2 linked regions of the Arabidopsis thaliana genome follow. The protein of the gene in region 2 interacts with the protein of the main gene of each other region in a pairwise test. Each region holds a gene or a part of one and is shown on either strand. Other genes may lie near its edges. The genes, in order: PYL4 and NAC089.

The links.
Region 1: the proteins of NAC089 (region 2) and PYL4 interact in binary tests that used the Arabidopsis thaliana proteins (3 or more experiments, as listed by UniProt).

The regions. Positions count from the first base shown.
Region 1 is NC_003071.7:16,043,091-16,055,135, reverse strand, and holds PYL4 (PYR1-like 4), read right to left. Parts: upstream 5,219-12,045; 5' UTR 4,886-5,218; coding exon 4,262-4,885; 3' UTR 3,780-4,261; downstream 1-3,779. Other genes in the region: AT2G38300 (myb-like HTH transcriptional regulator family protein), read left to right, coding at 9,457-9,691, 9,843-9,919, 10,043-10,079, 10,167-10,278, 10,400-10,961. UniProt on the Arabidopsis thaliana protein: Receptor for abscisic acid (ABA) required for ABA-mediated responses such as stomatal closure and germination inhibition. Inhibits the activity of group-A protein phosphatases type 2C (PP2Cs) when activated by ABA. Can be activated by both (-)-ABA and (+)-ABA.
Region 2 is NC_003076.8:7,370,701-7,382,909, forward strand, and holds NAC089 (NAC domain containing protein 89), read right to left. Parts: upstream 7,077-12,209; 5' UTR 6,799-7,076; coding exon 6,597-6,798; exon of another isoform or gene 6,417-6,596; coding exon 6,163-6,416; intron 5,997-6,162; coding exon 5,766-5,996; intron 5,680-5,765; coding exon 5,344-5,679; 3' UTR 5,139-5,343; downstream 1-5,138. Other genes in the region: AT5G22270 (uncharacterized protein), read right to left, coding at 1,787-2,068; AT5G22280 (peptidyl-prolyl cis-trans isomerase G), read right to left, coding at 3,572-3,826, 4,257-4,412; NIT4 (nitrilase 4), read left to right, coding at 8,701-8,863, 8,945-9,124, 10,155-10,448, 10,548-10,829, 10,916-11,064. UniProt on the Arabidopsis thaliana protein: Transcription factor involved in plant cell division.

The sequences.
Region 1 (12,045 bases), on a different chromosome or scaffold from region 2:
AACATATACAAAGTAGGATTCTAATGTTTTGGAAAATTAAGTTACTAAACATTAATTATTAATTCTTGCGAAACTATTGTCGTCAAAGTCACTCTAAAACATTAATTAACATGCTCTTGGATAAGAAGAAATTCACTCCCAACAAAAAACAAAAACAAAAAGTATGTCCATTGTGAATGCGATATATTGAAGTTATTTCGCCAATAGACGTGAAATAAGGTCGTGACTCTAGGAAACAAAGTTATGTCAAGACTCTATGAGATAGAAATCCGACGCTGCGTCTATAATCTGACCGTAATCATTCGACCTGTAGTTTAATCTGACCGTGATCTCTTGTTAAATATTATAGCGATTGTGTGTAAATATTTGTCTAGGACTTGCTTAGCAAATAATCGGTCTTTACAAAAAATAATTGAGAGAAGTTTGTATTGTAGCCGTGTGTTTCATGTCACGACTCAAGTGTTTTATTGGCTCCTAAGTTCGACCAGCGTTGTGTGATTGTACATTGTCGTTCTCAGTTGAGTCAGGAATTGTATATGTATCGTCAACTTTAAAGTTGTCGAATAGAAGTAGTGGCCTAGTGGGTCAGACAAAACTAAGTTGTTTGTTTTGGTTATTTAAATAAGATTGTACTTTCTCGGTGTAGTTTCGTATCTTTCTTGGTTTGCAAGTGAAGGCGACTATCGATTAATTTGGTGTTACCGAGAAACCCCCTTGGCATTCTTCATAAAGCATAATAGACATCTGAGAAAGGTGTGGCCACAGGGGGTCACTATGGTATTTGCGAGCGCCCTTTTGGATTTTCATAATCCAAATATGGTTAGAGATGGTCAAATAATATAATATGTAAACGTAAGGTTAAGTTGTTGACGTTTCCACATTCATACTATTCGTTGCCTTCAAGTTACCTCAAAATTCGATTTTCCTTGCTTCGTAGTTTTTGAAAGTATAATTTTATTTCTTGTTTCTATATGTTCTGTCTTTTTTTCTTCTTCTATATGTTTATATATTTCTATAAGTTTTTGTTATAGTAGGGGGATAGATAAAACTAATAAAACATTATATATCGTATTATTTTATAAAATTATTATTTTAATGTTTTTGACATAATCAATAACCAAATAGTCGTGTTAAAAAAAAAAAAATCAATAATCAAATAGTGAACCATTTATCTCATTCTATGACATGATACATCTATTTCTATTTGATAGTTTATGTTTTAGTTTGTTAATTGTAGAAATTCATCATTTTCTTATATTTTTTGTTGTATAGTTTTCAACTATCTTACTCTGAATTAGTTAGAATTAAGTTTTTTTTAACGAATTGTATTGAAAGTTTAGAATAGGGATGACAGACGGGTCTTCCCGCGACCAAACACATTTTTGCCCATTTTAATGATGAATTTGGTTCATAATTGATTTAGATGCATATACTGGAGACTATCACATATGGAAACCAGTCACTTGTATTTTTGGTTCAAATGTCTTTTTGGTTGATATGTTTCTCTAACACAATTTTGTTCTCTCTCTAAAATTCTCTCAATTCACTAAGAGTCTCACAATCTCACCCATTAATTTACATATAGTTACATATGCAATTTCTTTTATATAACCATAGTGGAGTTGATGAGAATTAAGTTCCATTCCGGCTCACCAACTGGTTCGATATGCAACAATATCATTGGTGCGCAAACCTTAAACAAATACATAACTTATGTGATCTATTTTGGACTACATCTAATAACCTTGGAACGATATACACATAGTTAACACAATCTTTCTCAAAGAAGGCATTCACGAATCAAAAAAAGTTGTCTAAACCTTATTAATGTGTCGTGTGTGGCGTAAAAGAAAATAAAAATGCGTCGTGCATGCGTGAAATTCATACTATTCATACTATTAGTTATTACACGTAGGTTGGGATTGCGATTCTTAGAAATGACCGGGTCCAGTTGGGCATACAGGCGGATGCTATAGGCCCATAAAAAGAAGTTTTAAACCTTTCTTTTGGGGGGTTTATTTTAAGTTACAAAACTAATTTCAAATTTTGTTACATTGTGTTAGGTTAGGTACGATTGTCTCTATACGCTTTTGTGGATAGTATTTCTTGTACACAACTTAACATTAGCAGATCGATATTTTTACAAGTTAACTTACCATCTAAAAGCATACATTGCATGCTTTACGCGTTATAACAAATCAACAAATACACCAATGCAGATTTTTCACATCGAAAACATGCTGCAATCGGTATTTTAAAAGTCCTATAACACGGATGACTCAACTCCATGATACAAAAAAGCCATGTATTAAAAAGGCTATTGGAAAGATTCTTAAACAATTCGTCAATACTTATGGCCTTGGACCTTCCAGATGATATTTATAACAGAAAATAAAAAGAATTATGAATTAGTACAAATGATAAATTACCTTAACCCGACCCCAACTACAATTATGGCCATACGCCGATGTAGGTGGTTCGGTCTAGAAGCATCACATGAAGCCTCTTTATATAACAAGAAGCGATATACTAATATGTGGCAACTTGTGAATTATATTCATATACACTTATATTCGATTTTTATTTTTATTTTCCTTTTCTCCAACGATCGGAAATTTGGGCAGAGGTCCAATCAAATTATAGGAAACAGTGGCGTGATGGATCGCAAAGGCACATATACTTTCATTTTTATGTTTTGAGAAATAAGAAAATTCATCAATTTGTAAATCACAATTAATATGTTTTGCCCAACTTGCAAAAAAATCGCAGCTACCCCACTTCCACTTGCACCGCCAACTCTTTCCCATCCCTTTTTTTTGTTTTTACACCTTTCGTGGCCACATTAAGTATGTATCTTATGAAGTTATGATTAGTAAAGCTATGCTATATTTGTCGATATTTGACGACCACAAAAATTAGTAATTGAAAGTTATAACATTTTGTGTATTTTTATGCTATTCCTATTATCGACTGAAAATTTTGTAGTGATGATGGTTACGTAACCATAGTGGTGAACCTCGATAATGATATTGCAAACATAGAAGTAGAAGGTTTTAGATCTAAGGAAAATGAAATCTTTCATTTCATACGATTCATGTTTTGTCGATCAATCACATATCTTTTTGTGGATAGAAGTGTAGAAACCTCTCGAATATATTGAAAAAAACACATTTATATAATTATATTCTAAGAGATCACTTGGAAACGAAACATATCGTGACTCTCGTGATGTAAAAGGACATGCAACTTGCGCTTCTCTCTATTCCATATTTCTTTATTATTATACGAAATTTAATATTATATCTTTTGGATTGGGAAGAACCATAAAGAAAGGAAGTAAAAGATAAAAAAAATTGCAACTTGCATTTTCTTTATATCAAGCGGGAAAAAAAAAGAAGAAGAGAACAGCTTGGCTTGTTGGGTTATCATTCAAAGCATCGTCCACTTGCAAATTTTTATTTCTTTAAATTCATCAACATGTTCGTTTTTTATTTTTTATATTTTGACGGCCATGTTCATATTTTTGTATACATGTATGTTTTGTCCATTTTACGCAATTACCTTTAAGCCTGAAAATCCCCAACTACTCCCTATTTTCTACCAAATAGTTTATGATGACAAATAAAAACTTCAAATCTTGAATTCTCTATCAAATGTTTGATTTTTAAATAACAACTTCACGCTCAATCGGTTATTTTAATTATTATGAAATAATAAGAAAGTAAAAAGTTTGAGGACCTAGTTAAATCATAGAGGAAAGGAACACATTATATTATGCCCAAATTTAAAGTTGCCTTTAAGAAAAATCGTCGAATTTCACAAAAGCTGTTTATACGTACGTAAATTTATCTACACACATTAGATGGCCAACAACTCAATGTAACGAGTTAATATACATCCGAGTCGAACATCATATTGTACCATTTCATTTACGCTTTTTCTGATGAAACTATAGAAAAACAAGATTAATTAAACTTGAAAATCACACTTTTAATTAGCGGACAACACAACCACATTCTTTCAGTTTGAATATTATTATCTTTGGGTGGTGAAAGCCGGAATAGGGCTATCCAAATCGGTTCTTTATGGGATATGTAAAATACAAAAATTAAAAGAAGGATTATGATATGCATGAGAGATTAATTCACTAATGTAACTTTTTTTTCACACATAAGCCGAAAAAACATAGATCACACGACGGCTAAAAATCTAGAAAACGACGTCGGATCTAACGAAACTACCCGACAACGACAAAGACTCATCACAGAGACATCTTCTTCTTGCTCTCAGCCGCAGTATTCTCGGCTATTTTCGCAAGAGATTGAAGATTGCATCGTACGATAACGTCAACGAAGTCACAAGTCTCTTCCTTTGTGTTGCCTGGAGGAACATCAACGACGTAAGACTCGACAACGACGGTCCCGGAGATCGGAGAAGGGTGAAGGGTCGTTACGGATCGGTAGTTAGAGAGCCGGTGGTCACCACCAACAACGCTGAAGCTGATGACGTGGCGTTCGTCGTCGAGGATATCGAGTCTCTCGGTGGAGCTAGCGGCGGGGAGACCAGAGACGACGTGGACTTGACGGAGGCTACCAACGTTATCGCCGTCTCCGCCGATGACGCTACAGCTTTTGAGAAAGTGTTTGTAAGCTTGTGGGTTATCAAAGCGGCGTACGACGGACCAAACGGTGGAGATTGGAGCGGAGATCTCTTGAATAACGGCGGAGCAACACTGATTAGGACCAACCTCGTGTGTGTGAAAACGAGCGGCCGTGGAGTCGCGTGAGAGAGAAGGAAAACGTTTTTGAAACGACGCGATCATCATCGGAATCTGAACGGAATCTCCGTCTGATACGGCGGAAGAAGGACGGTGAACGGCAAGCATGTTGATCTGAGTAATGGTGTCTTCTTGATTTCAAATCTTGATCTCTTCTTTGAGATGGTATTAGGGCTTAGAAAAAAAACTGAGGATTGAAGAGGAAAGTGTATGGAGGAGAAGTATGTGTGTATATAAAAAGAAGCAAATCAAACTTTACAGCGACTTGCGAAAAGTTGGGCTGTGCCTTTCGATTTGAGAGAGATAGAGTTTTTAATGCAGAGTTCATGTGAGTGGTGATAACGAAAAAACCGAGCAAGTTGCTTGTTGTGAAATTACGGTTTTGCCCCTTGCTATAGTTGTTGACTTGACTGTTTTCTATACACGATATTTTTAATTGGGCAAGTGACCAATATATAATTCTCGTATATCAACACTAGAATTATAATATGGGTTTAGACTTTTAGTTTCTTGACCATAACTTTTTTCTCTTCTTCTTGAAATGACCAAGGTATATCTAGGACGAGATTCGTTTGATTGAATACGCTTTAAGAGTTTCGATATTTGGAACGATTGGAATGTAAGATCAAATTCATCAAAACATACAAAGTGAGAATTCTTTCAACTTAGAAGTTCTTCAATTGTTATTTCATAGTATGGCTAGATATATGAGTTTTCAATTGCATATATCTAGCCATACTATATATATGAGTTTTCAATTGCAAAAAAAAAAAAGGTTTTCAATTGCATCAGATGCAAATCTAGATATTTGAAGTATTCAACATCAGAGCCGAATACCACAAAACTAAAAGTGGTACAACCATATATTTAATTACCTGAGAGATTTGATGAACAAGCAGAAGGAGGAACTTTTTGAATGAAAAGTATTGTATTGCTTTTGCTTTGATATGATCTTCAATATACAAAAAAAGGAGCACACAAACAAAAGGGCATGAAAAACCAATCCTCACTAAGAAACACATTTTAAACTATACAAACTAAGGCCCAAATTGTTTTTAGAACCAAACTTTTAATTGGGCCGTATTTTGGAAAGAAAAACTGGTCTATCACAACATACTTTTGTTGTTTGGTTTGGTTACGTTGGCTATAGTATCTAGCTTCGTTATAGGTTGTCTCTTCTTCTACATTGTAACTAGTATTATAGATTTCTATTATTCTCTAGGATATTAGAGTTTACCTAAAGATGTGGAGTTGGCTGATCAGACACAACAAAACGTTCGAAGATATATTTTTGTTGCCGTCGAGGAATTCAATTTCGAGGTTGGGGAAGAATGTGTCGTCTGCCTTGAAGAATATAGCGAGTCTAGACATCCATTGGCCAAGTTGGAATGCCGTCACCGGTTCCATTTTAGCTGCATAATAATATAAACACAAAACATTTACTTGATGCTCTGTTTTCAAGCATTCTGTCTTGTTTCTTTACATTCATAACTCTGGGTTTTCAAACCTTTAACAACTCCGGACATGGACACAAACCCCATCTTAATGATAAGTCATAATACAATGCTATTAGTTCTTTATAATTGCTGTAAATTTTGAATATAAATTTTTTTGATAAGAATAGATTAATATTGTGTATTGAGCTTCACACACATCTTAATATATAAAGCAAAATTAATTCAGTTTTTGTTAACTTAAAATTATCATAAAAATCAAAAACTCGCACAAAGGACGGGTTCTAATATAGTTGATATATATGTTTTACATCTTTTCTTGCTAACATTCTACTAATATCTATATATCTACATAAAAGTACTAGAGAGAATTACCTGCAAGTGAGATTTGAGATATACACAGATGAGTGTATAATATGGTCAGCGGGTCAGGATATGTAACTTTTGTTTGATTATGGGTTTGAAAATGTGCAAATAGACAGACATTACTTCAACTAATTGAGAATAATGTTGGATCCGTATTTGTAGGAATAAAAAATAACTGTTAATTAGAGGTTGACTTCACAGTTCACAAGTCGGGTTCGGGTGTACAAGAATCTTGTCAGGTCACACCTAACTCTTATGATCGTCTCTTAGTTTTTTTTTTCTTTTTTTTTCACAGGCTTAATGGACCCTTTTGTCTAATTTGATGGCATATCTCACAAACCATCCAGTTCCATGTTTTTATAAACATGCTTTTTAAACCTTTAAAATGAAGGACACAAATTAGGATTCTCGGTGCAAAATTGCATGTGGACGTGTAGAAGCAGAAGGAAGATGGAAATTAAGTGTAAAGAAGAAAGGAGTGGTGACGAGAAGCTTGTGAAGGATCGATGGCAAGTCTCTTTACACGTGGGGGGAATGACAAAGTTCTTCTTTTTTCTACTTCATCAAAGCTTACAATTTCCTCTCCTCAACAACTTTTTTTGTTTTTTTTGGTAGGGAACAACTTTTTTTGTTTGGCTAGCAGAATTTTATTTACTAACTGGAAAATATGAACTTAAGCCTATAGTTTAATCTCATGAACTCATAATCTCCATTTAATTCTGCAACGAAGTTTTATTGGATGGCATGTACCCGAATCTATAGTAGATATATACAACTGGAAAACAGTATTGTATATTGTTTTCGTGATGCACCAAAAACTTATGATTGAAATTTACGTAGAAATAAAACAGTACAATTTGTTAGACATGTTAATAGAACTGATCTTGTGAGTGCTCATATTTCTTGGAATTCCAAGAGGACTTCGAAAGCATAATTGGATCTAAAATATATTATATCATAAGCATATATACGTGAGAATGTATTTATCTTATTGTTTTCATAATAGAAGTGGTAAAGGTAAATATTCAAACTAATTGTCGAAATATGCGGAAGAGGTAGTATTCAATGGCTTACGATGACTAAAATCGTAATTACAAAAATCACCATAAACTCGTCTAAAAAGACTTTCTTTGCAATTAAAATTAAACCATATAGGACTTCGATTTATACGGTGTCAAATTTTATAACTATGTATGTTAATATTACATATTTTTGGAACGAACGATGTAAAAAAACGGCTCAACTAACAACGCTATTCATCGCTTCACGGGGTCGGATGTGTAACGTAAACCAAGCAAGGACCACTTTACACATAAACTAATTCTCTCATACGAATCTACAAAAATACATATAAAGATAATATATAATTTTGGGGTAAGAGAGGAGCATTGTCCCGTGATTCTCGTCGAACAAAAAACAGAAAAAGAAAGAAAGAAAGAGGTATGTGTGATGATGTGGTCTACATCAAAGACAGCTGAGCAGTCACACGCCTTGTAATCGTAATTTATTCGTCTATCTACCACTCTCGCTCTTCCATTTTTTGCCTTTAGCATTCAATTCCACGCAAAACCCTAAACCTCATAATCTCATCAAAAAGTTTTAAAGATAAATATATATGAATCTACCCATTAATCAATATATTAGTTAGTATTGTGATTTATCACTTTCTAAATACTAAAAAGTACTCAGAAGATTAGAAGGTTGATTTTAAAAATAAATTTTCTAACTAATTTGATCGCTATATCAATAGAAATGAGAGGATTTAAAATCCATCAAGTATAGTTCACTTCGATAAATTAATATTTTGTATAAATTGATTCATGTCACGTACTGGATCTTTTAAATCGTTGAGGATCAAAAATTATTTTGCAACAAAAAGAAAAACAGAAGGAAAAGAAAGTTTAGTTAACATTAATTTTAAACCAAATGTCTTAAGAAAAAGACAATGATCTCGATCATCAATGATCCTAATTCCGACAAAACTACTCTGAGGTATATTATAATTTTGTGAATTCGATTTTGTATTTAATTATTTTTCCTGGAAACTGCATCACGGTATCAAAAAATTTAAAATTCTTCATTTTTTTGTTTTCTTCTAAACTCAAATAACGTCTCAACTATACTAATATCTTTCTTATTTTCTTATAATTATTAATTTTTTTTTTTTTTTTTTTTTTGTTGTTGTTGTAAATAGTCTTACTTATACTAACTAATTCATTCATAGACTGTTAGTCCCGATACATGAATTTTATCTATATCGATCTTTGTAATCGAAATGTTTGTTTGACGAACTAAGGCAATCTAAGACTACTAAGAATATGCTATATATAGAGCCTAATTTCTATCACACTCATCTTAGCCTTTGGTGAACAATAATATAGAATAAGTGTTACTTGTAATTTGTTGGCATGTTAAGGGTATAAACAACAATTTATCTCATTTATAGGAGTAATAGTTTTCTCCCTCCATGGTTGATATTAATATGCATCCACATATTAAAATATACAACTATTTATATATAGAGCTGTCTATAGTAGAAAAGGGCCGAAATCAATTAGCTGTGAACAGAAAAGAAAACTTTTTAACATATGCAACAAGATTTAGGTGAGGGTTTGTCTACATGTTCCGGGAAGAGAGAGAGAGAGAATCAGAAGTGTATCTTGATCTAGGGTTCACAGACAAAATCTCCATGCTTTGAACTAAGCAGAATTCATCTGGTCTTTTATCTCTTTCATATCAAACCAAAGGATTGATCTATCCATATCGTCCAAAACCTATATCTAGCTAAGCCTAGAACTTCTCTATCGTTTACCACTTTCTTTCTATATTTCTTCTGAATTTGTAACATCAGAAGTAATAATGATTCCAAGTATGGAGGGAGGCGGGAAGACTAACAGAGAAGAAGAGGAGGAGGAAGAGGAAGAAGAAGAAGAAGGTGAAGAGAGTAAGGTTTCAAGCAATAGTACAGTGGAAGAGAGCGACAAGAAGACTAAGGTTAGGCCTTATGTGAGATCTAAAGTCCCTCGACTCCGGTGGACTCCTGATCTTCATCTTCGCTTTGTCCGCGCCGTTGAGAGGCTTGGAGGTCAAGAAAGTACGTCCATAGCTACTAACTTCATCTTTCATCACCTCCTCCACATATATATAAAAGCATAAGCAATTTCTTAGTTATTCTTAGGTTAACTATTTGGTCAAAACCTCATGTGATTTTCTTTTTTTTAATGTGTATGTTTGGTTATGTATAGGAGCAACTCCAAAGTTGGTTCGTCAGATGATGAACATCAAAGGGCTTAGTATTGCTCATGTCAAGAGCCATCTACAGGTATTTGATCTACATACATCTAAAACGTACCTATATATGTGTTGTATTTTCGATTTCGTTTCAAATAATCTCTGAAATTAGAAAAAAAAAGAAATCACTAAATTGTGTATTGGAAAATTTTAGATGTACAGAAGCAAGAAGATAGATGATCAAGGTCAAGGTATTGATTCTTTCTATTTGTGTTCATTAGTTAGTTATCAAGTTATACATGTATAGGCCAATAAAGTGGGGTTTGAATTGTTGGCAGCTATAGCTGGTCACAAACATCTCTTCGAGACTTCCACAGATCGAAATATTTATAAACTAAGTCAGCTACCGATGTTCCGAGGCTATAATCATAACCATGATTCTCCATTCAGGTTGATATAACTTTTTTTTTTGAAAATTTTAGATTTTATGTGTTCCTTAATTTGAATGATATTCCGTTTTAATTATATTTATTCGGAAACTAAATTAATTGTCTTCTTTTGTTTTTGGTAGATATGGAAGTAAAATTTCAAATGCTTCTTTGTGGAACTCTAGCTCTCAAGGAACAGAAAGGAGTTTGATAGACCAAATTAGGCCCGGTTTAATCCGCAACGCGTCGGTTAGCAATAACATCCGTGGTAGTGATTATTGGACTAACAACAAGTCTTTCCAAAACATCTACTCTTCTTCAATTTCTAATCACTTTCCGAAACTACGACACGATCATCACGAACGGACCAATTCAGTCACATTCAACAGCATTCAAGGACACTCAAGAACTTTTCAAAAGTTCCATAACGGTGTTGAGGAGAACACTAATCATTCTTATTGTAGCAAGACAAATGGCAAAAGAGACGCAAGTAGGAGCATTGATCTTGATCTATCTCTTAAGCTAAGACAACCGGAGAAGACAATTTTGGAAGAGACAGAAACAGCAGCAACAACAACGGATCAAACGTTGTCCTTGTCGCTATGTCCAGGGTCGTCTTCGTGGAAAAAGAGCCGACTGATGAAAGATGAAGAGGATCGGACGGTTAAGATTGGTCAGGAGAGTACTCTGGATCTGACTCTATGAATTATATTTAAGAATGAGACAAATTCTAAGTGAGATCTTGAGGTACTTACCGATATCTTAATATTCAGTGTCGTTGTTGTTTATCATTAATCATGTATTTTCTTTATTATTAGAAAGGAAACAAAAATGTTTGATTATATTAACGGTCTTGAGTTTGTTTGATACCGCCAATTTGTATCATCACATATATAAACAAATATTACTAGCCACATCATAATGATTCGATCTTTTGTCTTCTCATAGCAATATACTATATGAAAATTACATATACATATAACAACAAATTTACATCGATTAGAGTATCTCTGCTGGTGAGCTTCATTCATTTGTAGATGAGACTTTTACGTAAATAGTACAAAAATTTTGGTTTCGTATTTATCCGAACAGTACATGGACAATTTTGTAGTTCCAAAACATGTTATAGTTAATAGTAGTGTTTTCAATAATTTCCAAAATCCATCTTCACTCATTTTTCCCTTTTCAGAGACATAGTGAAACAATTTTACACTATGCAAATCCGAAGCCAATTATTTTTGAGGTTTTTACTATATGTGAACAAGATTAATACTTAAACAACAAGACACACCTCGTTCTTTGTAAATATTAAAGAGGTTAAAGATCATAATACAAAAAAAAACATAGAAAAAGTTCACAAATCATCAAATCTTTTGAGTTCATTATTCTATATAAAATTTTATCTCGTGAAATGTTTATTGTATAAGGATGTGATTAGTTGCAAACCAAAAATTAATGTTTAATAGTATTTGATAGGGAACTTATTTCAACTGTGTAAAATTTTCCCGGTAAAATTTTCGTTCAATCAGTCGATTCTAAGAACATGAATCTTATTGAATCTCTAATAATTTATTGTATAATATGGTGGCACCTATACGTCAATACGATAATGACGTCGTTAATAGTAACGTTGAGAGTTGAGACTGTTGTATAATTTTGATTCGACGTGCCAAATACTACGTTCGACCAAGTATCAATTTTGATTTTCCAAAAAGAAAAAACAAGAAACTTAGGATCTCCGTTAGTTTGATTGGATACACTGATACTGTTTCGATATTTAGACAAACAA
Region 2 (12,209 bases):
GAGAAGATAATATAATAAAATAATGAAGACATGCATTTGAGCTTCTCACATTTTTAAAGAATCAGATTAACTCTGTGTTCCGTCAATTTCTGTCATGTCTACCTGCACATATATGCATCTATTACATAACACACACGTGTGTGTTTGCGTGGTTGGACAAACTCAATTTAGTCGATTATCAATGTTTTAATTGATATGTAGTTTATTGATTTGTGATAGTGTTGATGATTTGTCATCACTATATGTTCAAACCCACATAGTTATTGTTAATTAAACATAATTAATATGTTACATCAATAGAAAAAGGTGTTTACATCAATAGATGTTTTTTAGCGGTTTAAAGAAAGTTTCAAATTATGTTCTCAGAAAAAGTGGTTTGCAAATTGCAATGGTATTTACTTAATAGTTAATATATTACATTCAAAATTGTACTCACCTTAATGATTGCAGTGATCACAACAACTTTGGGTACTTACAGTCACTTCAGTGCTTCAAATATATGTTTTTAGTGTTACAATCTTCGTAAAAAAAAAGAGTTAAAAGTTCAGACCAATCAAATTTTAATCTTTTTTTAAAATTAATGATATGCCTTGTTAAATCCCGATGCTAACAATTGCAATATTTGAGTTTGAATCAATATTAAGCATATCTAACTAAAATGTTGACCTACTATCACTTGTTTAGTGTTTAAAGTTTAAACTTTGACAGCCACTAATAGTATAAGTAGGTATATACGTACGTAGACTGAATAATTGTTGATAATTTTGTATCATTTTTGTTTCACGATTCTTAGTAACAAGTAACAACGACCAGCGAGGCAGCGATACATTATATTGTTAGTTGAATAGTAGCCAACAAGTGACTTTGATTCGTTTTTATAGTTGTTGGTTGAATGATAGATTTCTTTGATAGGTCTTACGTCAGCGAAAAAATATATATTTGGTTTTGGTTTGTCCAATTGAAATTGCCAGTAGCGGTAAATATAATGATAAAAATGTGAGAAATCTACTTAAAGGATACGTGTTGTTTCTTTTGATAGTTGGGGAAAGGAACAAAACACACGTAATGTTGAATCCGACATTAATGTAAAACCAACATGCATTTTTTTTATAGTAAGTTTAGGTGAAGATTTTTCACATTTATAATAAGCATAACTCTTTTTCATGTTTTTATAAACATTTAATTTGTTAGTTCAACAACTTTGGTAACAAGTAAACCAAACCTATTTATTGTTTGACGTATGATGTGTATATATTTATGTATATACTTCGCATTTAACGCTAGAATTACATAGTGCAAAAAAAGGAAAAGAAAAAAAAGTCATTGTTCCACATTTTTCATATTAAAAACATAATTAATTGTGCCATGTACATATACATTGAACTTATAACAAGTCAACAACGACCATTTTCCATTTATAAAATTAAATATCGCAATAGTCCGAATACGTAACCTTTTGATGAGGACACAATGACACATCCATCATTTATACTAGCTATTAATCCAAGTTTAAATTTTTGTAATCACCCGTTGCAAAGAATCAATATTAATATTGCTTAGTTTTCTACAAGAATTATCCATCGTTAAGCAGTCAATATTACAAATGAAGTTAAGGATGTTTTAAAAACATAAGTATATAGGTTTCGATTTTATGAACATATCCGTTCATTGTGGATTAATTCAAACTATCAATAAATGTGGCAACAAATTAAGGAAAAGAAAAAAGAAAGAAAAATAAAAGAACATCCTTAATTTAATATTATGTATTTTTTTTTTATTTTTTTTTTTAACTAGTGCTCTTCTTGCTATGGTTTCCTGTGAGAAAATCAAGCAAAACATGGCTGTTGCATCTAGGGCATCTAGGGTCATTCTCTAAAGAAGTGATGATGTACATGATGCAATTAGGGCAGCCAACGACCACCATTGATTTAGCCTCTCCTCCTCCACCCTCAGCTTCCTCCGAGCATAACGATGACGATGAACTCTCAGTGAGCAAAGATGAATCCAACGACGGTGAAATATTTAGTTTCAGATCAAGTCCAAGGTTACTCGCAGCTTCTTGATTCATGTTCCTTGCCTTCCAAGAAGAGTATACTATGTGTGTTGATATATTATTCTACAAGAATCAGAATAAGAAACACAGTAAAACAAAACTTTAGATGGAGATCCATGGTTTATAAAACATGTATATATATAAAAAGAATTGATCAATTGAATACTTATTTTTCTATCGATCAATCAAAAAGTGAAGATGACAATAACAAAATTTCAACATATGAGAACAAAAAAAATTCGATGAGAACAAATTAACTTGGTTCTCGGGTTCCAAAGTAGCTTTACCTTGGTGAAGACTAGTAGTAGTTTAGTTCTTGTTCTTGAGATTTAAAGAGAGATAGTTTGATGTCTGCATGTTAGTGGCTGTTATATATATATAGATAGAGGAGAAGATACACGCAAGATGAGAGAGGGTCTCATTGAATGTATATTAATGAATTAGTAGGATTAGTTTCATCTAGCTTTCAAAATAAATATTCTTGTAGAAAATAATTATAATATGAGGTGTTTGTAAGCAATAAATGTAATTTGAAAATAATAGTATGCAAAAGATTGAGTATATGACTTGTGCTTTGAAATTGCATTTATTACCAAATAGTATTTGGATAATTACAAAGGAGATATTTTTGTCCATTTTCATAAATCATCATATTATTAGTATGAAAATCGAAATTCAAATTGAGAGGGAAGAAGTAGACAATGCATTTGTTTCAAACTTGGAAGGTTGTAATGTAGTTAAAATCGGTGTTGACAAAAACAAATTGTAGTTTAATGGGTAGTTGATATTATTAGATTTCTAAAGTCGTATATGATGATACTTTTTTTAATAAACCGAAAATTATTGTTGAAAAATTGATAAGTATTGGTGAATATGAATTTGGATAGCTTGACGGCTAGACGCACGGCCAACAAATGATAGAAAGATTGACCAAAAACAGATGAATGGCTTTTGACTGTTAATATTATTGACTTTTAGAATGCCAAATAGTAAAATGGAAGAATAATAAATGAGTATGTGAAAATTCATGGGAGATTTGGTTTTGTTTGACTTAGAACAAATATGGAGTTGTGGTTGGTGTCTAATAAGAGATTTATTTAGGCTCTGACTAGTGATGAAATCATGGAAAGAATATGACATAAGATTGCTTTTGTCATCTTAGACTTTCGTTAGCCTCATCAGTCAAAGTAAAAATCTAACTACACACAACCAAAGTTTGACTATACCAAGACATCGACAATGATAGAATCAATCAACCATAACTAAAGATATTACAAGTACCCTAATTCTCAACTTTTATTACAAGTACTTAAATATCTCAATCTTACACGTGAATAAAGTAAATCATCCTTCTAATCAAAACATCAGCAAGGTTTTTAACACAACAAAAGTAAATTACAACAGTTTTTACGTACCATTTGGGTTATTTATTAGAATTGATGTAACCGGAGGAAATACTAGTCTTCCACGATGTGTTTCCTCTCGAGCTCAATGAACTGTTTGTTATTATGGGAGGTTTCAGTGGCGTTTCGTGTCTCGTTCTCTCCTTTGCATCGCTGTAACTGCATTTGAAGACTTCGTACAAGGTCGTTTAGCCTCTGGATATGTCTCTCTTGTGACAAGATGATCTGTAACGATTAACAAACTAAGAATTGACAGGTCTTCTTCTATTTTCAGGTTCAAAATTATGCTGAAGTTATGAGGTTCGTCATACATCCAATGGAACTTTAAGGTTGCAAGACCAATAAGTCTATGTTTCTCCACTAACCTCATCTATTTGATGCAATCAGGGAAAACACAACAGAAGGCAAAAAAACCCCGAATATTTCTATGCAACATTAAAAACTCAGATCAGTCATTGATGGATTCCATAGACATTCTCAAAAAGAAGAAGATAGAGATATGAAAGCCAGTTACAAAGAATGTTTGTCCAGAGACTCATGAGACTAGAATGTCGAGGATAAAGTCAACAACACAACTACTAAGGCATAGTTATAGATTGACTCAAAAGGCAAGTGAAGCAGATATAGGAATCTTAAGCATCAGAGCATTCTAAGTTAACTGACACTATCCAATTATGCATATCTCTGCTACAGTTGTACTAATCTATAAGTCACAATCCCAAAACGAATTCTCAGGTCTTTCTCATACAACTGAACACACAAAACTTCAATGAAAAAGAGTTTAAGAATGAAGTAAGTACCTTCTCCTTGACAGCTTCTTCCCTCTTTGCAATTTGCTGATGTTTCTGAGACAAGCTAGGAGCTGCATCAAGCTCAAGAAGTGGTTGCCTCCATTCAAACTGAGAAGTGACTATAAGTATAACCAGAAGAAAGACTAGCATGATCGGCCTCGACATTTTCTATTCAGCTCTTACAAAACCTGTTCCAAATTTCACAATCAATCCATTTCATACCATCCTAAACACACATCCAAAGACCACGCCTAATCGAATTGAGACATATATCGAAAATGAGATCGATGCGACTTAAAATTCACCTACTCACTTCAAATTTTCTAATTAAAAACCAAAAGTAGAACAATGTAAACAGTGTAAGCTGATACTATAAAAAGCAACTCCATCAAATCAATGACCTAGGGTTTCAATACGAATCTCCTTCATATGTAACTAACTTACTAAGGATAAGCAAATAACACATACTACAGAAAAACTGAATTTCCTCAGCACAACAAAGCAAAATTGAAGCATCGTAGAAGATATAACGAAGACGATTAAGTATCTCCAACTTACAGATCGATTTATCACAGTGAAATCAAACTTCATTATCGAATCATCAGCTTTTCTAGGGTTTCTTAAACCGGAAAAATTGACGAAACTGATCGAGATCAATAAAATCGGCTTGACGGAGTATTGAGGAAACTTGACTTCTCCAAAATGGGTTCTCGTATAGAAGAAGAGAGAAAGAAACAAAAGCAGAGGTTTAATGGCGGCGAGAAAATTCTACAAATCTTAGTGCAACAACCATCTGGACGAGAAAGATAAACAGTACGGATTTGGAAAATAGTCATTTACTAATTTGCCCCCATCATTTATCCATTCTCTGATTCTCATTAAACACACCACTTAATAAGCCTTGAAGTGTAAAAACTATATCCACTAGTTCTTCTGTGCTTGATATTTCAGGTTTTGATTTGGTTGCACAGATTTGAAGTAGAAGTGTAAAACATAAACCGTTTACACAAAAACATCATATAATCCTTGTCAATGTCCGAGAAAAGATGATACAAACATAGCTAGGACACTGTTTTTCGCTACTTCCATAAGCCTCTTATTCTAGATAAAACAACATTGCTATCAGAGCCACTACACCTATAATAACATCCCATCGTGCCTTGTTCACTGATTTGATCGAGTATAAACCCACGAAGCAGCTCGACAATGATTCCGTGGCGTCTTTTCCTTTCTTCTTCTGTGATGGTCTTTCCTCTAACAGTGATGACATTTGTTTGTCTATCATGTTTGGTAAAGGAAGTACCCTTATCTCCATTGATGCTGATTCTAGTGTTGGCACTTCGTTTGGTGTGTTCCCTGTCATCACCGCTTCATCGAGATTGATGATTTCGTCTCTTAGGATATCCGCAAAGAAATCCTCGTCATTATCCACCTAAACCACACACACATAACATTCATTAAGAAGAACGACAACAATCAAGAACCATCATACAACAATTAGAAGCCAGGTGACAAAACCTGTAGATTTTCTGATGACTCTGCCATCTCAGCGAGTAGTTTCTCCCCTGATTCACCTGCTAGGTAAAAATCAACCAAGTTGTCCCAATCAGACGGGCTCCCTGAACTCGTAGCGCCATTTTGGACTTTCGCATGCTTCTCGGCTGATGAATTTGGCTTTGGTGCCTTCTGACTTGTACCACTATTGTATTCTTTGTTCCTCCTAACCCGGCAAACAACCATAGCATCATCCTAGAATTTACATAAACATAATCAATCAACTCAAGCCAAAGACAAAACTCCTAAAATTTTACTGTATTCCTCTTAGAGACTCAAAAAGTAGCCAAAGTCACCACCTCTTATGTAATGGTTAACAATTAATCTATAAGAAAAAACAAACTCTCGAGAACAGTTTTACCAGAGATACTCCTTTCACGCAGTACTCGTGCATAATCCAGTCAGTTCTTTCGCCTTTTGGTGCACGACCAATATGGAAAACAAGCGTCCTCTTTGTTCCAATGACCTCAGAACCAGACTTCACATCACGCTCTTTCCCAGTTGCTTTCCAGTATCCCATCTTCGTTGCTCTCCTGTTCTGTGAACCATGTGGATACTTTTTCCCACGCGCACAGAAGAAGAACCACTCGCTATCAGATTTCACAATCGACTTATCTGCAAAGAACAAACACACAAAAAAAATTGTCAATTCCAATCCAAGAGCCAAAAAATAGAAACTTTATATCTTAGGCACCCAAAATAGAGATCTCTCCTGAAGCCTGAAGAACAACAAAATCAAATTCCAAGTAGAAGAAAGACACAAAAGAATCAATTGGTTCGAATTCGAAGACAAACCGGGTAAATCCCAAGGCTCGAAATTGTAAATCTCAAGGTCCGGTATAACCTCAACGGACCTCTCCAAGCCATCCATCTTCCGCTTCAGGTAATACGAAATCAACTCCACATCCGTCGGCGAGAATTTAAACCCAGGAAACACCGTCGACGCTTCCATCGACGCCGCCGTATCCTTAGAAACTCCAACCGCCTTCGTGTCCATGAAGGCTCGCGCGTATACAACAGTCGCCACAAAAAGAGCGCGTAAGAAATCGGCCACCGCCCAAAGAGTAAAATCCGGGAATTTTCGATAACCTGAAGGATTTTTCTTCTCAGTGTGGTCTCTTCTCACTTGCTCAGGGAGCTTTTGAATTGTTATTGGAACACTTCACAGGTGCACACATATGGGTTTTTGCATACGTGTTGCCAAGGCATTGCTTAATCTACGTGTGCATGCCACGTCACTAAACCTAGTTATATTATAGGTTTTATTTCATTTAGACCCTTAATGTTTTTACGTACTCCCAATTTACGACTTATTGTTTAGTGTTTTCAGATAAAGTCCCAATATATATCCGAAATCTTACTATCGATCAATCGCTCACAATTATATATCCCAAAATATCTTGTTCAGGATCTCGTAATCAACAAGCGTTACCTCAAAGTTTTTGTTGATTTGAAGCTTAAGGGTTAACCACTTATCATTACAAGAAAACTTATCCTTCTTGATGGATTTCAACTGCTCCACAAGACTTTCCATATAGTTAAGTTTAATCAAAAACTCATGTTCAAAAAAGCTAAACAAGAAAGGTGAATTTTCGCAAATCTCCCTCCGTAAAACCTCGTACGTCTTCGAAATAGTATTAGTAGTAAAATCTGTGGACTATGTTTCTGTGTCAAGGTACGACAGGGAAAACGAAATGTATGAGTGAACTTTATTGTTGTTTCCATGATGAAATGGGGTTACAAATTACGATCAAATTATACTCAAATCATTATTTGTAAAAAAACTAAAGTGATATTAACGTGGTTAACTCTGTTCTGTTAATTTTTTTGGTGATGTGAATCCAAAAATTACTTTGAAAGTTTCTCGTACAATTAAAAGTTTAAAGTTGATGATGAACGGAAACTATAAACAATCATAACAAGAAATTCTCCAAATTATTTCAGCAACAAATTTATATTTTGTCAAGATCAACAATGATCGATAACGATAATATGATTTAAGAGTTTTTTCATACCAAAACTCTTTAGAATTAAAAATCCTCCTTTCATAGGCCTTTGAACTAAAAAATAGAACTCTTCAACAATATTTTAGTCAAAAGCTAATGATACGTGAAAGAGTTCGATACCTTTTATAACACCATCCAAGGATATAGATCAAGTCTAAAACTAAGAAAAGAGATAAACATCTAATCTTCTAATCCTCATACCTTCGAAAAGTAAACAATAATTAATATTGAATGCTAACAAGTAACAACCAAAATATATAAACAAACGCTTTGTTTGGTTTTTAAGGTTGGTTTGTTATCGAGGGGGTATTTTATCTTTTGAATTTTGTAAAAAATCTATAAATATAGGTGATGATTTTAGAAAAAAATGAGGATTTTTTTACACATTTTGGCATTTCCCCCTACAGTTAAAAAGAGAGTAAAAATCAAAATATATATCATGTGTTGTACAAGTAAACACCTACCAACCAAGCCCATCAAGAAGATACTACTACTAGAATCACTCATTTCCTCTATATATCTTATTGGTGACAAACTGACCAGTCACCAATAAATGTCTCTAGTCACGGCGGCTCCTCCGGTCAACATCGATCAAATCTTTCCCGTGGTTGACGTATACACTTGCGATTCTTCCTCCATCGTACAATATGCATGCATATAAATACCAATATAGGTGATGGTTATTGTAAATGTTTTTAGAGAAAATGAGGATTTTTTAAACCCATTTTTCCCTTCACTAAAAAAGAATCGACACACAAAAAGAGAGAGTTTATAAAATACACGATAATATCAAAGTTAAACACACACCAACCAAGTAAACAAGATACAACACAATTGGAATCTTTCTTCTTTGACAAAAAAAAAAGGAATCTCTCTCTTTCTCTGATTCTCTCATGTCCATGCAACAAGAAACGTCTCACATGACGGCGGCTCCACAGACCAACGGCCATCAAATCTTCCCTGAGATTGACATGTCCGCCGGCGATTCCTCCTCCATCGTACGAGCTACAGTCGTCCAAGCCTCTACAGTCTTCTACGATACTCCCGCCACGCTAGGTTCGTTCCTGTTTTCTCGATTTTTGATTCACTATGGTTGGTGAGATCGCTTTCGATGCCTTATCCACGAAATTTTGTCAGATAAGGCAGAGAGACTGCTTTCTGAGGCAGCGGAGAATGGATCTCAGCTAGTGGTGTTCCCGGAGGCTTTCATCGGTGGATATCCACGTGGCTCTACCTTTGAATTGGCTATTGGTTCTCGTACCGCTAAAGGACGAGATGACTTTCGCAAGTACCATGCTTCTGCCATTGATGTTCCTGGTAATAAAGTCCTCCACCATATCTCCGATTATGTTCTCACTTTTTTTCTTTCGATTTTGGATCTTAGCATGAATACCAGGGCACGCACTTATTACCACATAAATCCATTGTTCTCTAACTAGCTACCAACATAGAACAACTAGGCAACCCTCTTTTATATTCACTTAGGTCGCGTGTTCGATTCACGTTCACTGCACCATTTGATAAGTTTGAAGCTATGAACTCTTATCTTTTATCACTTCTCATTCCAAGATACAAACTCAAGAACTACCCTAACAATGGAGATTTTTTCAAGAGATCTCCTAACTCTCCTCCATAAAACCATACGTTTGTTAAAAACACATCAATACATGCATAACTTCATCAATTCTCTTGACAAGAGGTTACAAAATCTGTTTCTTCTTGCTCTGTTTTAACTCCTTTTCACATGACTTCTATGCTTCTCTTTGCTTATTCACGTGTCTCATAACCTCCTTTTCAGCTACCACACGTATCTCCTAGCTTATCACACTTAAGATCTAATAAATTCTCACCAAAGCCGTCTTTAAAACAGCTTCTGTTCTACTACGACACTGTAACAGAAACTGCAACAAACAACCAAGGTGGTTCTTGTTTTTTTTTGGTATCAAGGTGGTTCTTGTTGCTTTGAGGGAGATGCCTCTTCCTTCTTACATGAGAGCTTGTAGCATCACCAAGATCTGACCAGTTCATCAAGAGACGTAGCTTGGTTGCTCCACCCGTGACTCCACAACAAGCTTCATTCAAGGGAGGCACAGATGCTCCAAGAGTAAGAAGTTGTAGATAAGATCATTTCAGCAACAGTCACATGGGCTTAACTTATGAAAGGCCCAGTGACTTGGGCTTTCACATGGGTCAATCTCATAGCCAATAAACCCAACAATTGTTAGTGTGATCATCTACTAACAATTGAGTGTTTCAGTCTCTACTAGTTATAGTGTTTCTTGAATCACCAAGTGTGTGTAAACTGTAAATTACATTCTACTTATTCATCTGTGCCATCTTGTGTTAGGCCCTGAAGTGGAACGATTAGCGTTAATGGCCAAGAAGTACAAAGTATACTTGGTTATGGGTGTGATAGAGAGGGAAGGCTACACGCTATACTGCACCGTTCTTTTCTTCGATTCACAAGGTCTGTTCTTAGGTAAGCACCGCAAACTCATGCCTACAGCTCTTGAACGTTGCATTTGGGGATTTGGAGATGGATCAACCATCCCTGTGTTCGATACTCCTATTGGGAAAATCGGTGCTGCTATTTGTTGGGAAAATAGGATGCCTTCTTTGAGAACCGCAATGTATGCCAAAGGTTAGTCTCTCTTTAGCTTCTACAAAGGGACAATGTATCAGTATGTTGCTTGTGATTTGATCATGTTGGTGTGTTACACTGTTGTGTTTTTTTTTGTAGGCATTGAGATTTATTGTGCACCTACTGCTGATTCAAGAGAAACTTGGCTAGCATCAATGACTCATATTGCACTTGAGGGTGGATGTTTTGTTTTGTCAGCTAACCAGTTTTGTCGTCGGAAAGACTATCCTTCTCCGCCGGAATACATGTTTTCCGGTTCAGAAGAGAGCCTAACACCGGACTCTGTTGTCTGCGCTGGTGGAAGCTCTATCATTTCACCTTTGGGAATTGTTTTAGCTGGACCAAACTATAGAGGAGAAGCTCTTATCACAGCTGATCTAGGTATATTATTAATTAACATTTGTTAATCATCATCATTCATTCTTGAACAAAAAGTTAACTAATCATATCCTATAAATCTCTAACAGATCTTGGGGACATAGCACGAGCCAAGTTTGATTTTGATGTGGTCGGACATTACTCGAGGCCTGAAGTGTTTAGCTTGAACATAAGGGAGCATCCGAGAAAAGCGGTCAGCTTCAAGACGTCAAAGGTAATGGAAGATGAATCCGTCTAACAAATGATCATTTGTTAGACCCAAACTTTCTCTGTAATTTGATGAAGTTTATCTGTAGTAAACTTCAAGACTTGTGTTGTAATTGAAATCGATAAAAAATCTAAACCGTTAGATTGAGTGTTGTCTTCTATTCCTCGTTTATACTATGCTTGGTTCTGCTCGTTCCATGTTCTTCAAATTTGTACATGAAACTAGTGATTCAATAACTTGTTAGGGATTAAGATGAGTCATTTTTACGAAAAAGATGAAAGAAAAACAAACCCAAATGGCCAAAACAAATAAGCTACCAATTCTCTCTACTCTTCCGCAACACAACACTCTCTATGGGTTTGGGCCTTGTTTCCTTATTTATTTCCCTGTCTCTTGGAATGGGCTTAGGCTTTTCTGTTTGTATCCACCCTGTGAAAACCTAAAACATTCATATAAATTGTTTTTTTTTGGTTTGGCATAGAGGATAAGCAACACATTCGTACCGAAACAAACCGAAATATGGAATTTTAAAAACTCTGTTTTATAGGTTTAAAAATTATGTAATCAAGTTCTGGGATAAAAATACGAAGTATATTAATATATAGGAAAACTCATATTTTTAACATTCAAAGTGTTATTTGGTAACACCAAAATCGAAACGAAAAGTCTGCCCATGTTTGAGACGATCTGTCCACTGACAGTTGATTTGCTAGTTGCTATATTAGTAACATCAATGTCTTCAAAATAGTGATTTTGTAGGTAGGTTCATTGTATATATCAATGTTTATTATACAGACAAAGGAGGAGACAAAGAGATAAACCACACACGAACTTGATAAGATCATCACTCTGACAAAATATCTCCCTATAATGCGAATGTTTTTAGCATTTGACCTTTCTCATTCAATGAGAGAAAATTAGTTAGCCTAGTGGCACTATATTATGCTTCAACTTTAGTAGTTTTATTTTGTTATACGAGTTAATGATTTATCCCTAAACTATGTAAAAGTATGAAACAAAAAAAGAAAGACAAACTTTTGGAACCCAAAACCCCTTGATTTGGTTTAATGGTACATATATATATGGTTCTAAGCTAAAATATTATATTGAGTGGGGGACATAGAGTAAGGCTGATTGGTATATGCATATATCTTTCACACGAATTGACCTATTAC